Linked DNA regions of Styela clava. The protein of the gene in region 1 purifies or fractionates together with the protein of each later gene. This does not show direct contact. Links are inferred from orthologs where the notes say so. Each region holds a gene or a part of one and is shown in the gene's direction. Other genes may lie near its edges.

Region 1 (7,877 bases):
ATAAGTAAAAAATAATGAGCCTCGTGACAAAACTCAATTGGATCGCGATCTCAACAAATTCCTTGAGCTATTTCGAAATTTGGTTTTAGTTTGGTTGTGGCAGCATCAGGCGGCCCTATTGAATTACCCAACGGGCCGGATTTGGCCCGCGGGCTGTACTTTGCTCATGTCTGGTCTAGACTATAGTCTAGCATATGCAGAACCGGAATCCGTCCTATTCAATTCTGTTGAGACATGTTCATTGTATTGCCGATAATTTTATTCTTCTATTCAATTATTTTGAAAGTGTTTTTCAGATGTATTCAGTATTGTCAAGATGTTTCGAAGCAATTTTAATTATTGTATTGTATGTTGCCGATAATTTTATTGTGCCATTCACTAACATTGAAATTATATTTCACTTGAATAAGACAATATATAGAAATTAGCGGAAATTTGATACAAATGGCGGTAAACCTTTCAATTTTTTTTCAATTAAAATAACGCTAGATGCAAACGTATGTTTTACAATTCGTTCTCCTCATTTCATTATTGAATATGTTATCTATCGAACACGTAACGAAGCTGTCTTACCCTGGCCTCCTTTCCGCGAGATAAATATGAAAATATCATCCTATGTAAACCCGAAACGAGTCCACCCCGCTGTCGTAAACCCGAAACGAGTCCATGCATCTGAAATGTGTGCATCGTGCTAAGCGTTAGAACAGCGTTTCCCAGCCTTTCTTGGTCGCGGACTGTTTTCTCACTGGCGAAAACCTTTGCGAACTTAAGGAGCATTTATTGCAACCGTACTCTTTGTGAAGAAGCAATAAAACCGAACATAACATAAAATTCGGAAATTCGCGCATTTACGCGTTCGTTAAAAGAGCCGACTTTTTAGTGTGTAATGGCGGTTTCTGTCGCACAATATTCAGTCCATGACGACGACGAGAATTTAAAATGTCTTTCTATTCTAATTTATTGTGTTCATGGTGGTAACTCGCCGTTGCGTCGACTTACGACAAGATGAAAACATTACTTCTTTAAAATGCCACGGCAATCTGCGAACATAATAATGTGAGAATATATTGCCCGATTATATTTAGTTTTGATACGTAGTTTTTGCGATCTCGCGAATTTGTTATCGCCGTTAGAAAAATTATACTTTCTGCTGTAAAGTTCCAGATAGTACAACTTGATTTAGCACTTAAATTATATTTAAAGTTTATTAGTAAATCAAAAATACATATTCATCACCTTGCTTTACTATTAAGTTAATTGTGATGATTTTAATATGCAATTGTGTTGACGAAATAAAAACAATACTAATCAGAAAATATTAATATGGTAAAGTGCCCGATTATATTTTGTTTTGATTTGTATTTTTGTGAATTCGACAAATCTGAGCTGTTCGTAGGTCGTACAACACTTACGGCGCTCCAGTACTGTATGTACCAATGTGGAGACTAAGGCAAAGAATCCTGAGGTAAATGCCCTGGTACGTATACCACGGTAGCACCCGAAATTTGGCGATTTGCAATGTTCAAAAAAGCGTTTTTAATCGGTCGCGGATAATCATAAAACAAAACTGATGGTGTTATCCGTTTTATTTTTAGTGTTTTGTATTGCCGCTTTTCAATTTAGAAAATTTGCGTTGCCACCATTGACACCTACCAAAAAAGAATGATTCCTCGTTGTTCCAACTCGCGAACTCTATCGAAGCGTGAGCAGACTCGTGTTTACGTTGGAAGGTGTTTTCGTCACCTGGTACTAATAGTTGAATATACTCATTAACCAGTAATTATTGACTCGAAATGTTATGTGAATAAACTTGACATTTATGTTTTATGTAAATTCTAATGTAAATCGTAACTTGTCTGATAGTTAGTTTCGCAAAGACGTTTGCGACCAGCAGTGAATTTCTGGCTCGTTGCGGACTCATTCAAACGCTTCGCGGACTCATTTGAGACCGCGGACTCGGGTTAGGAAACCCTGCGTAAGAAAAACACGCTTCGCCACCGCACCTCTAATTACCCTACGTGGGTTCGCAGGTTCGAATCCACGTAGGGTAATTATGTGCGAGAGGATTAATTGCTGGACTCTCCGCCGCTCTATCGGTTACGATCTCCCCCACCATCAAGTCCATGCTTCCGAGAACAAACATCTGGCCAACTGCTTACATATTCGACATGGACTAGTAACAGGACGATAGGCCATGCTTCGCTCGATCAATCAATCATTTATTTACATTTACATTAACCGGCTTCCTCCACCATCAAGTCCATGCTTCCGAAAACAAATAACTGGCTAACTAATCCCATAGTCGACCTGGACTGGTAACCGGACGAGAGGCCGTGGTTCGTCCTATAATTAAGCCGTCTTATCGGCTTTTTTCTCCCCGGGATAAATATGTAAATCCCCTCCTATCCTACCCTATTTCAGTAGGCTACTCTGACATAAAAACAAAACGGCACAAAAAGTAGACAGACAAACGAAATGTAGAGATACCTAAAAGGCGAGCATCACTTAAAATAAAGTTAAAAAACACTTTAGCTATATTATATGATTTCGTCTTTTTATCGGCTTTCCACTCCATCGGGATAAATGTAGATCCCATGATGAGATCTACATTCCCATCCTAAATTCCACAATGTCACACATGAATAGGTACTGATTACGCAATCGATTCGGCGATCTGTGTTCCGCGTGTTAGGTTTTTAGGCCCGAGTTTCAGGTTTTGCTATGCTATTTCTATATTTTCGAAAACTGGAAATTGAGTGAGCTTAGTGTATCCGAGTGTGAACAGATATAAGTTTTTCATCGTGAACGGGAATCTAAATTCAGCCATTCCTTACTGGCCTATCTGGCTACTTTTCAGCCTTATTAATTGAGACCCACCGAGTGTTTATGTTACACAAGTTTTGTCTTTTTATTTTGAATAGTTGTTTGTGTGCTGTGGGTAAACTGGCGCATGTATATTTACTTGTGTTAAACCTTTATAAAGGTTTCCCCGATTTTCCCAATCTTCTGTGTCAATGTGTGTTCATTGTTTGTGTTTTGTGTATGATTTTTTTTGCGGAAAAATCGAAATATACTTACTGGTATACTTACAGTCTACCGTACTTCTGGCAGTCTGGCCTGAATGCTAAAATGACTTAACGTTACCGGTAGGTACGACTTAGCCCAGTTACCAGTGCCGACGTTTTTTTCGGTCAACAATCTTACCATGGTCAATCTTACCACTGTCTGACTGTACCACGGCCTATTCCTGGAATATAATTTGATGTTGGTTAGTAGCGGCAGTGTGGCTCATCATACAATTCTCTTGTAGTTTTGTACCTAACTCACTTCTAGTGGGCGTAGCATGACCATTTTTTAATATGTCAATCCTAACCCCAATCTGAAATCTGGCCGTCCAAAGCTTACGTCAGTAGACTACAACATCACAAGCACGTCATAGAGCTTGCCAAATATACGTACGATCACCCGAAATAGCATCGTTGCCGACGATAGAGAACTAACGTCATCGAGCTCTCTCATATTGAGATCGTCGCGACGAGAAAACAAGAGAAATAGCTGTTTGATTTCGGGTGCTCGTCTGCGTGCTTTGAATGACAATTCGTATAGTTTGAAGAGCTCTATTCAGCTATTACGTCATAGTGACATAATTTTTGGATTGTGTAGTCATGTCAGCATGTGGGGGTTAGGATCGAAACATGAAAAAATTGTTATGCTACGCCCTCTAGAAGTATGTTAGGTACGAAACAACATGAGACTCCATTATGCTAAGCGTTAGAAATACGCTCGCCAGACCTCTGATTACTCTGCGCGGGTTTGCAGGTTCAAATTCCATGCATGGACGGTTATGTGTGAGAGGATTGCTGGACTCCTCGCCGTCGTTGGGGGTTCACGTAACCGCTGATCGATTAGGGCTTCCTCCACCAGTCCTGAAGTCCATGCTTCTAAAAAACAATTTGTCAAATAACTAACTAATCCCATACCAGACATGGAATGGGAATCGGACACGAGGCCGTGGTTCGCCATATGGTTAGGCCGTCTTATACTTTCCTTCCCCCCGGGATAGGTATGTAAAACCTATTTTAATCCTATTCAATTTGTCACTGCAAAACTACCTACCCGTACGGTATTCTGTTATGTTTTTGCACTTTTTGCCAAGAACGCAAAAACCTTTTACATGTCTTATGATGGTACGGAAAGAGACGCTCATTTCACAGTTTTAGCGTTTAGCCAAATATAGTCTACTCTGCCTTAGGCATATTGTCTCTATGAAGCATGTAATACAATTTCTTTGTTTTTTTCAGCATAAAATTAAAAATGGCTCTGTATAATTTCAAAAAGATCACAGTGGTGCCATCATCGAAAGTAAGTATAGAATATGGGAATAGTTCAGTATGATATTTCAAGAATAACCCTCGCATTGAAAGACATTAATTAATTATAATAGTGAGAGCAAACTCCCTCTTTACATGACAGTATAGGCCTCCATAGCGGCATAAATCGGCAAACCAGTTTTGCGCAATAAACTGAAAGTAAGAGCAATCTAAAAACTTCACCATTGGATTCTTTGGAACACTGGAACTTCTGTTTGTGCATGACACTTTGCACAAAAGTTACGTTCTCTACAGAATAGTTTCTAAATGACATTGGATCATTTTTAGGTTACTCTGTACTCTCAAGCTAAACTCATTCTCAATTTCTTTACTAATCTTTCCTTACTTATTTTCACAGGACTTCATTGACATCACATTATCAAAGACACAGAGAAAAACTCCAACTGTAGTTCATAAAAGTTATCCGATCTCCAGAATACGAGCGTTTTATTTACGGAAAGTTCGATACACTCAACAGAACTACCATGATAGATTGAGTCTGATTCTTACAGAGTTTCCTAAACTTGAGGTATTTTTATTATTATTAATTTTGAATATTGATACAGGGATGGATAAAATTGAGTGATTCATTATTTTAAGACGCTTCGCTCAGAATGATTATTTTTTGATAGAATTATTCAAGCTATGGCACCGTAGTATAAGTACCAGGTTAGGTTCCGATTCTCCTTACGAATTCAGGAAAAATCTGTGTTAGCAAAGTGAATATCCCCTGCCAATAGGTTTCAGTCCCTTCGCACAACTTGATGTGAAGTAGGCGAAAAAAATTAGTTACCTTCATATTAGTACACATACTTTTGGAGCGCCCAAGCTATTCTTAAAATCTAGAATTTAAAATATTGAATATAATTAATTTCAGGATGTTATTCAGAGCAGAATAGAAGTATATTTTGAAACACGCTTCATTTCCAACTAGTATAATTTTTGATTAAATGCTTTGGTTGATCTTTTTAACTGGTTCAACATAACCCAAAATTTGTCAAAAGTTTTTATAGATATCGTATATAATTTTGCGTTAAAAGTTTCGAAAAAAATAACGAATCATCGGCTAAAATATAGACTGTAATTCCAATGTATTATCTGCACCTAAATATAAGGCGCCACTTGCTTCGCTTGTTGTTTGGTATTTGTAAATAAACTTTTTTTTCATAGGTTTTTATTTGTAAATAACATTTTTTTATAGGTCCATGTTGAGTTTTGAGTGTCCTGCCCAGTGACCAAGTCTGTTATCTGTAAATGGTCCACTCAAAAAAGTAATCGCCCGTCTCTGGATTATGGTATTCTCATTTATCATTTTAATACTATCCCATTTAAGCATCCTTGTGGCAACTGCAAAGTTGATACAGACTAAATATTACCTTTATTCATCTCTTAATTTTTTTTTTCAGGATGTCCATCCATTTTATGCAGATCTAATGAACGTTCTCTATGACAAGGACCATTACAAACTTGCTCTCGGACAAATCAACACTGCCAAACATCTTATTGACAAGTAAGAACGTTGGCTCTAAAACTGACATGGACATTGAGGCGCAATTCTTACCACTTCATGGCAGCTCCCGCCAAAACAAACCGCGGCGTTTTTCGCCATGGTTTTATGGCGCTATTACTCTATATTTACTTAAACCTAGCCATACCTCAAATTAATCAAAAACTGTATCCATACGGAAAATGGGGGCTCCCGAAGTATGCGAACCAAGATGGCGGACATCGGAATGTAATATGTGTACTAGGTTAGGGTTAGGCCATAATTTTAGGTATAAATAATACGGGAGGCTCTTGGCTAGTCTTCGAACTGATAATTGGACTAAAATAAGGAAAATTGGAAAAAAATTATCGCCTAACCCTAACCTGTTACCCATGTTACGTTCCGATGTCCGCCATCTTGGTTCGCATACTTCGAGAGCACCGGAAAATGTTCTAACTTACCCAAAGTGTGTCATCATCAGGGGCAGTCCCGCCATTACAGCCTACATCCCTGGGTTCACACAATTTTACCAACCATGGTTTTCAATTTTCTGTTGTGATACACCACCTCACGCCCTTCGTTCGGGGACTGTGGCAGCTAAAAAGTCAGCTGCCCTGGCCTGACCTTAGCGGCCATGGTTTGGAAATCTTGCAATGGTTTTGCGGCATCTTCAGACGCCACAAGGTGCTTAAAACTGCACTTGTGGACACTGGACAAACTCCGGCGGCCCTCGTGTCAAATCCGGCCTGGTGGGTTATTCAATCTGGCCTGCCTGATGCTACCACAACCGAACTAAAACCAAATTTTTATATTGTTTCACTCAAAAATAGTTCACGAAATTTGTTGATATTGCGATTAAATTTAGTTTTGACACGAGGCTTATTGTTTTCTACTTTCGTAACACACAAATATTGTTCATAAAATTAACACAATTTGAATGTATTCGAATATTTGATTCATTTCAAAATAGTTCAAAACTTTGTTTTTTCTTTTTTCGTTTTAGATACCGCCATTGGCCAATTGTTAGGTCAATAATCAATATGACAGTTTTGGCATGTTCAATTATACCTGTATCCTATTTATACATACCAGCATCGGGCCCTTGCAGGTGCTCCACTCTTTTGGCCCTCGAATATCCTTTATACCTTCCAATTTTGGCCCCGATCAGCCAACTTTGGTCCACTGTGCCTACCACATGACACTATTCATACGTAGTTATTAGAGGTAAGATCTGGCCCAAAAATTTCAGCCCGACCCGAACTCGACTAATTAACTGGATTTGCAGGCCCGAGCCCGAAGCAAACCCAAAATTTCATATTTTATTTAGGATTTCATTGAATTGTCATCGCAAGAGTTTTGTAAAGTATGTGTCGTGTTGATGAGGCAACTTCTGTTTTTTGCAGACCACGATTTCTCGTAGCCACAACACGGCCGAAACGCCTCATTTTAAAAAAAAAGTCGGCGATAGAGTAGCCCCACCGAACCCGACCAGAACGTAATGATTGACATTTCAGGCCCAAACCGGCCCTGAATTTCGGGTCAGCTCGGGCTTTAGATCTTAGCTCTGGTATCAATCACTATATTATTCAATATTACAGTGTTGGTCGTGATTACGGTCGACTAATGAAATATGGCGATTCATTATATCGATGCAAACAACTGAAAAGAGCAGCGCTTGGTAGGATGTGCACAATAATGAAACGACAAAAACAAAGTCTGGAATATTTGGAGGAAGTTCGACAACACATGTCTCGTTTACCAAGCATTGATCCAAATACAAGGACTTTACTCATCAGTGGATTTCCAAATGTTGGGAAATCGAGTTTAATTAATAAGGTTTGGTCACTTTATTAATAATGCCCCTCTGCAAAAACTTGTGCAAGAACATTTTTTTTATGTAATTTTCCTAAACTTGCACGCCTGTTAGTCTGAACTAAGACTTGTAAAAGTAGCCACTGAAAGAGGTTCTCAAATGATGCGGCGTAGACGATTTTTTGAAGGGGCGAGAAGCTAATTGATTC
Region 2 (7,991 bases), on another chromosome or scaffold:
TTTCTCCCCACGGTTTGTAAATTGCATGTCCCAATTTTAAGCTAACAATATTACCCTTTCTGACGCCTGAATGCGGATATTTATTAAGAAGATAGTTGACCTTCGCATAATTTGACTTGTACAGTTGTACTGTTTTATTTTCGTATTGAATAGTGAATAAAAAACCGACAAAGTCATTGCGTGAATTTTGAATGTTATTTTCAGTTCAAACAATGAATCAATAAATCGGCAATAATGGCAATTCTAGTAGTCAAATAATAATTCCATAGTGAAATTTGGGAAAAATTTCGCACAATAATTTGTTATTTTGTTTGGCATTTTCAATTTTACGAAACGGTGTGGGCGCGCTTTATGCAAAACTTGGAATTGAAACAATATCCAAATACGACTCGTCAAATATGTCGTTTCTGTTTGTTAGCATAAATCGTGGCGTAAATTCGAAGGATTTGAAATTGGAATTTCTTAAAATAAATTCAGAAATAAAATCTCTGCGTGGCACACCAAAATCATTTCGCGGCACACTAATGTGCCGCGGCACGGTGGTTGGAAACCACTGATCTATACAATACCTGATTTCACAACAATTCTAATAAGTCTCTATATTACGTATTTCAGTTGCAGGTGATATTATGTGGAGTGATAACAGAACCTTGGCATTTGATCCTCGAGGAAGCACCGAGGGGTATAAGTTGGGGGCTGACCTGGGTTGTGATGTGCTCGTACACTGCTAAAATTTCTCCGCTCGGATTAGAGGCTTCAACAATGGGGATCACACAAGCTACGTTGTGGGGAATAGGTGAGGATGAAATTATTTTGTTTTGGTGTTTATTAAGTCACAGTTAAATTTAGTTTAATTTTGTCATGAAGTCAGTTCTCAATACTTCCTAAATCAGGTTTGTTTTATTTTAAACAGTGATTATTTAGGTTTTTTACTTCATTTACTACACCTGTACGGACCATCAAAGTATATATGGTATCGATATATTCAGTTTGCTGCAATAATAAGTGAATTTAGCGTTGGTTTGAATTGAAAAAGTCAAGTCCGACAATCCCAACTACATATTCCTGGGGGTACTCCCGTAGTATGTGTACCAGGTTAGGGTTAGGCCATAATTTTATTTTGATTTTCCTTATTTTAGTTCTATTACGAGTTCGGGGACTGTCTGTGTTAGCCAAGTGAATAGGCTTCCGTCCCTTCACACAACTTGATGTAAATTAGGCGAACAAAATTAGTTACCTCCATATTGGTACACTCACTTCTGGAGCGCCCTCATGGGTAATCGATGTGGCTAATTGGAGCATTTCTTTCACGAAAAAGGCGCATATGGTATTTGTTATCAATCAATCGATGCAGCATGCCTTGAAATGATTTATATTCAAGTTATGTGCGATAACTAATTTCAAATTACTTCTAAGATATATCAATATTCTGAAAAAAATAAAATTAAAAAATAAAAAAAATAAAAAAATATCAATATTCTGATTCATCGAAACACCATTTTCAGCTTATTGTATCTTCACGAGTTCAACGCTTTTTTGCTAATCTATTATTGCAGGTTACGGCGTGGGTGCTTTACTTGGAGGAATTTTCTTTCAAACGTTCGGGGGAGATAAAATGTTCTTGTTATTTGGTGCCATGAGTTTGTGTGTTTCAGTATTATTCGGAATATTTTCTTTTTGTACACGTAACAAAGACGATTCTGATGTCATAAACAAGGAAGATAGCAGTTTAAATGAAGGTATGACCTGCAGTGTGACGAAATGTATTTTTTTTGCCATTTCTAGTTCTAATTAGGTTATATAGCTTCCACGTAACTTCTAGCAGGGGGGTAGACTCGGGGTCCCTATTTTAAAATAGGATAAAGCATTTTTCTGTATAATACATAGCAATTTTTCTTAGCGTGGAACGCTTTTAGACCCTCGAGACTCTTGAAAACTCACTTGGATCCGTTAGCTGTTATGGTCTGACTTTGCAATTAGAAATTTCAGAACCCCCCTCTTCATTCGAAAATTTCCGGCTACGCCGATGTCTCCTAGTTTCTGAATTTTCTGAATTTCATATTGAAATATATGATATGTGTCGTCAGATCTGTAGCTTTTGGTCTTTTAGGGTATGACATCGCAAAAGACTTGTTCGCAGTTATGTGCGTATGAAAATATTCTTAAAAGTAGGTCACCTTACTCATTATAATATTTCTTTTATAATTTTTCATATCGAAGAAAAAGAAACTCTGAAAAATAATGAAGAAGATGTTGAAGAGAAGACGCACGTTTAATTATACTCAGGGGATGAACGTTGAAACACAAATTTTAACGAAGACGAGATATGAAAGAATTGATCAGAAACTAGCCTAGTTGTCAAGAATCAAAAATGACCTTGAATGACCCTTTGTTCTGTATCACGGTCGTACCCAGGTGGAGTTGCGGGTCGTACCCCCCTTTCTTTCTGAAATGTGAAAAAAGCATTTTTTTCTATCATACATAGTGCTTTTTCTTAGCTTGTAACGCCTTTTGGACACTCAAGACCCGGATCCGCTAGATGTTACGGTCTGACTTCGCATTTAGAATTTTCAGACCCCCCTCCCCCTTCTTTTGTAAATTCCTTGCTACGCCCCTATTCTGTTTATGTATTACTAACAGACTTGTGAGTGGCTTATACATTGCAACCAGTGGTGGGATTCAGCCGGTTTGAACCGGTTCTACAGAACCGTCTCACGAAGTTTTATGAGATCAGCGAACAGGTTAGCATTGCTGGTTACTGTCAATGACTTGTTGTAACAGAACCGGGTGAAAATATGACTTCTGTGATGGAACCGGCTGACAAAAAAATTGAATCTCACCACTGATTGCAACATGTACTAATACATGCAGATCTTCGATCAACCGATTCTTACTGCGACATGTACTAATACATGCAGATCTTCGATCAACCGATTCTTACTTCAAATTGTTTATATATATAAAACGGTCTTTGTAACGTAACTTTGTTGTTCACTGCTGATATGCAAATGTGTTCAACTGTTCGTTTTGCTTGTACAGTAGGCTACTTAGTGGCATATATTATGCTTTATTTTTTTCTGGAGTTTTGTGATCATGAACTGTGAATAGAAAAATTCATGTCTATATTCGTTGGTTTCTGATTAACGTAATATTTGTAACGACCACATCGTCTTTGATTTATATAACCTTGTGAGATCTTTTCTATCACTGTTTTAGTTTTTTTTTAGCAAAACTGCTGTGAAGTATCTTAATGCAAATATATATTGCACTGTGATACATTTTGGGGGTTGTAGTGACTTATTGGCCAGGAAGACTCTCTTGGAAATGTAGTTAAGAAGGCGCTCCAGAAGTATGTGTACCAATATGGTGGTAACTAATTTTGTTCGCCTACTTTACATCAAGTTGTGTAAACTGTAAAAGGAATGAAACCTATGGGCTAAAATAGACAGTCCCCGAAATCTCAATAAAACTAAAACAAGAGAGCTATGCTCAAATATATGGACACGTAGCGCCACCCAATGGCAATAATTTTGATGAAGTCATAGCGAAAAAAAAGTAATAGCCTTCTGGAGAAAATTTTTATCTTTAACTGAAAATTTCAAAGCAATTGGTCCAGTATTCGAAGAGAAAAGCGATTTTTTAAAAATGATGGAGACAAATAACAATTACAACATAATATTGAAACGATCGTTATGTCCACTAAACGTGTCCTATAAGGAAAATCAGAATGAAATTATGGCCTAACTTGGTACACACACTGTGGGAGTACCGTTTAGAAACCTTGAAAAAACTTTCATTGTGAGAAAAATCTTCGTCACGAGTATTGCTGGTTTGCGCTTTAGTGAGGGGGTCGTTCGGGTGGGTGTTGTTTGGCTCCAAAACAACAGAAAAGCGGCGGCAAGTTTGGCAACAATTAGCGTATATTCATAGCTTTCCAAATGTAACAGCATCAGGCAATATGTACAAACCTTTCAAAATTCGTTTCTGCTCTCGGATCAGTAAGTTAGGCGATTCAGTAAGTGCCACAAAAGTCGCAGGTGAGCTAATGATGAATCCATTTCTGAACCGCTGTTTTTATTATTCTCTCAAATAACATGCCGCATCTGACGTAATACTACTTTTCTAATTCTCTCGTTTTCTCGGCATCGAAATCAAGTCTTCTAATTTCGCTCGTTACATGAGTAGCGAGGTTTTCTTTCTCTAAAATGTCTGTTTATCATAAATTTGGCAACGACAGAACGAGGAAAGTGATCTCATCTTAAACTTGAGTGGGCAGACTTTATTGTGATTCATATATTTTTACAGCGAGTTTAGCTTTTTGCCCGCTCACTGTAGTAAACTGGTTAGCATGTGAAGTCTGAAAGTAGAATTCCAGAAGACAGGAAGATGGGATTGTCTGGCTGTTGGATAGGATATGATAAGATTTTCATATTTATCCCGAGAAGAGGAAAGTCGATAAGACAGCCTATTAATGTGATGAACTACAACCTCTCGTCCGGTTACCAGTCCATGCCGTGTACCGTATCGTATGACCTGGTACAGTGGTATGATATTAGTTAGCCAGTTATTTGTTTCAGATGCGTGGACTTTATACCGGTAATGGAGTAACCCATACCTGCATACGGTACCGTACGGTACCTTACAGACATAAGCAGGTTCTGAGTTCAGCAGTTTAAAACAGTTCAACCAATACAGTACCGTATGTGTCTTTCTCTCACTTTTTTATAATTACTGAATTGTTTGGATCATTGAATTTTTAAGATTCATTTCAAAAGGCAAACTGGCTGATTCTTAAGGATTGTCTTTTGTACAGTTATGAGGTCCAGTGTAGTTTCGTACCTCAAGTACTTCTAGTGGGCGTAACTTTGGTAACAATTTTTGCATATGTCAAACCTAGCCCACCCGACTGCGTCATCCGAAAATTATGTCACTACGACGTTACAGTGATGTAATAAGGCCCTTCAAACTATACAAACTGTCATCTAAGGTGTGCAGACGATCACCCAAACTGAGAATGCTATTCATCTCGTTTCCTCAGTGTAATGATCTTGATATGAGAGAGATCGCTGCTGTTAATGAGTCCTTTATCGTCAGCGCAGATTGGGCGATTGTTGGTATACTTATTGTCTCTGAGGCGAGAGTGTCTGGCGCGTTGGCAGATGCAACAGGATGTGCTCTGCTTGTCTTGATAATATCTCGGTTTAAATGTGTTAGTTTTCAGCTTTTATAATTACCGTACTAACACTGTCTGAACCATTCTCTATTTTGTGCTTGTCTTTAGGACATATTAGTTATTATTACTTTTGTAATGTCACTAAGGCTGCTTTGATTTTCAACTCTTTGATTATTTGCTTTAGTGTAATAAAATTATAAAAACGAACCTATTTTTCAGAAATTATTTTAAACTCAATAATTTGACTCCAATCACCACAGCAAAATGCCACAGAACGAGCATATTGAGCTTCATCGGAAGCGACATGGTTATCGTCTCGACTATCATGAAAGAAAACGAAAGAAAGAAGGGAGGGAAGCTCACACACGAGCGATTAAAGCAAAGAAACTGATTGGACTGAAAGCGAAGATGTACAACAAACAGAGACGCAATGAAAAAATAATGATGAAAAAGACGATCAAAATGCATGAAAAACGGGACACCAAGCAGAAAGATGATGAAAAGACACCAGAGGGAGCTATTCCTGCTTATCTGCTCGACAGAGAGAGCCAAAGTCGTGGAAAAGTCTTATCTAACATGATTAAGCAAAAACGTAAAGAAAAAGCGGGAAAATGGTCTGTTCCGCTCCCGAAAGTACGAGCACAAAGCGAAGCGGAAGTCTTCAGAACAATTACAACAGGGAAAAGAAAGAAAAAAGCATGGAAACGAATGTGCACAAAAGTTTGTTATGTTCCTGATAACTTTACAAGAAAACCGCCGAAATACGAAAGATTCATCAGACCAATGGCGCTTAGGTTCAAAAAAGCACATGTCACTCATCCTGAGCTGAAGGCTACATTTTGTTTACCAGTCATCGGAGTAAAAAAGAATCCGTCATCTGCTATGTACACATCTCTTGGAGTAATCACAAAAGGAACAGTCATAGAAGTTAATGTGAGCGAACTGGGATTGGTAACACAAGGGGGGAAAGTAATCTGGGGAAAATACGCCCAGGTTACAAATAATCCTGAAAACGATGGCTGCATAAACGCAGTATTACTGGTCTAGATATTGTCGTAGAGAAAAAAAAATTATCCTTGGTGTGGTATGTGGGATAATCATCAAATAAAATCATACTCCAGTACGACCCAGAAGACCCAGTCAAACCCAGAAGTCTTTTTTCAGGTAGGTCATTTAAGTAGCAGTTGGGACCAATTATCCAGTCTTTATACTGACTCTTCAATTTTGCTGGCAGATATTTTGTTTTTTGATCAAAACTTTTAGACAGCAAAAAGTGTAGAGACATATTTTGGGTGATTACTGTTAATCTTATTCTGTTGCTGGGATTTCTGCGTATTCTCCTCTCTCTGCTATATTTTGATCTGTTTTGTTGTTTCATTTACCTTGTTCTACAATCAGTGGTATATTATTTTTGAATGCGTATATTCTCGCATATAAGCCGATCGTACATACAAATCGACCCCCCCCCCCCCCCCCCCCCCCCTAAAAGGTGAATTTATAAAAATTCACATATAAGCTGACCCTACATATCATAACACGCTGTAGTTCCTCCTGCGACAGCAAATTTGAGTTGCAGCTGTTGGAATTAAGTTAGCATAATGTGAATTCGTTTGAGTGCATGTATAGGAGTTATGCGCTATGAACCGACATCTTAGTTTGGCAAATATTTTGTTTTTTGAGTTTCGAACTCAGCCTATATGCGAGGGTATTCGCCAAGTTTATTCACAGTATTTTTGAACTCAAATTGAATTATTTTCTGTTACCATTCTGCCAAAAGTTTGTGAGATATTTCAAAACTCAATACTTTTTTGACTGACTTGTTGCCTTAACATTATCAACTGCAATCTGCTTTCATTTAAATTAGATTGTAGATACTTGCTATAGCTATAAATAACCATGGCTCACATTGACGATATGCGGACTAGAGTCACCATGGGGGAACATGGAGTATTAAATGTCCACACAACTGATTTCCCAGGGAGTTACGTCGGCTACGATGACGCATGGAGCCGCGAAAAGTTCATGAAAAACTTTCGGATTAATATTTTGAAATGTGACGAAGATGAAATGACTTTTGATATGATTGGGATTGACGCTGCCATAGCGAATGCATTTCGAAGGATTCTCCTGGCTGAAGTCCCAACGATGGCGTTCGAGAAAGCGTTTATTTACAACAACACCAGTATAATACAGGATGAAGTGCTTGCTCATAGGTAATTCATGAATTTTTAATGACTTTGAATTAAAAAGGGATTTTTCACATTTATCAATGAGAAGAGGAAAGTTGATAAAATTATTTTAACCACTACCTTGAGTTCAGAAGTACAATTTATGTTTAATTTTTCTAGCCATTTAAACTCGATTTCACACAAATTACAAGATAAAGAGAAAGTACACCTACCTAGGTACTTGTCATAACCATGATCAGGGGCGCAGCCAGGGGGGAGGTTACATGGGTCGTAACCCCCCCTTTGGAATCTTTTTTTTTTTTTAATAGTGTTACGTTTACTTGCAATAATTTTATTCTTTGCGTTATCACTTTCGCCCAGCGTCCTAATTTATTATTTATGTTTACGATTCGTATTCGCTGTTACGCGGCAGTGGATCTAGTTGCCAGCGGGGGGTCACGGAAGTGACAATCTACACTAAACATTTTTAGATACAATTGTACTACCTTTCACTTGACACAAATAGCAACGGACGTATCACACTATTGCCGTCAAAACTATTCCACAAGCGCGCTCTCGCCTCGCCACATTCAACGCATCCATACTTTTAATCACATACGTTATCAATGGTTATCGGCTTATCGCTAATT

What was found.
Region 2: the proteins of GTP-binding protein 4-like (region 1) and ribosome biogenesis protein NSA2 homolog purify together in Homo sapiens (affinity purification with mass spectrometry; 3 studies listed by BioGRID and IntAct, counting the BioPlex papers as one, with this or other methods). This does not show direct contact. The link is inferred for Styela clava from reciprocal best matches to the Homo sapiens genes GTPBP4 and NSA2.

The regions. Positions count from the first base shown.
Region 1 is NC_135252.1:23,061,903-23,069,779, forward strand, and holds the start of GTP-binding protein 4-like, read left to right. Parts: upstream 1-4,293; 5' UTR 4,294-4,314; coding exon 4,315-4,362; intron 4,363-4,728; coding exon 4,729-4,899; intron 4,900-5,776; coding exon 5,777-5,880; intron 5,881-7,454; coding exon 7,455-7,692; intron 7,693-7,877. UniProt on the Homo sapiens protein: Involved in the biogenesis of the 60S ribosomal subunit. Acts as a TP53 repressor, preventing TP53 stabilization and cell cycle arrest.
Region 2 is NC_135263.1:3,697,037-3,705,027, reverse strand, and holds ribosome biogenesis protein NSA2 homolog, read left to right. Parts: upstream 1-5,370; 5' UTR 5,371-5,437; coding exon 5,438-6,220; 3' UTR 6,221-7,038; downstream 7,039-7,991. Other genes in the region: uncharacterized protein LOC120341273, read left to right, coding at 616-796, 1,557-1,739, 2,221-2,276; DNA-directed RNA polymerases I and III subunit RPAC1-like, read left to right, coding at 7,070-7,386. UniProt on the Homo sapiens protein: Involved in the biogenesis of the 60S ribosomal subunit. May play a part in the quality control of pre-60S particles.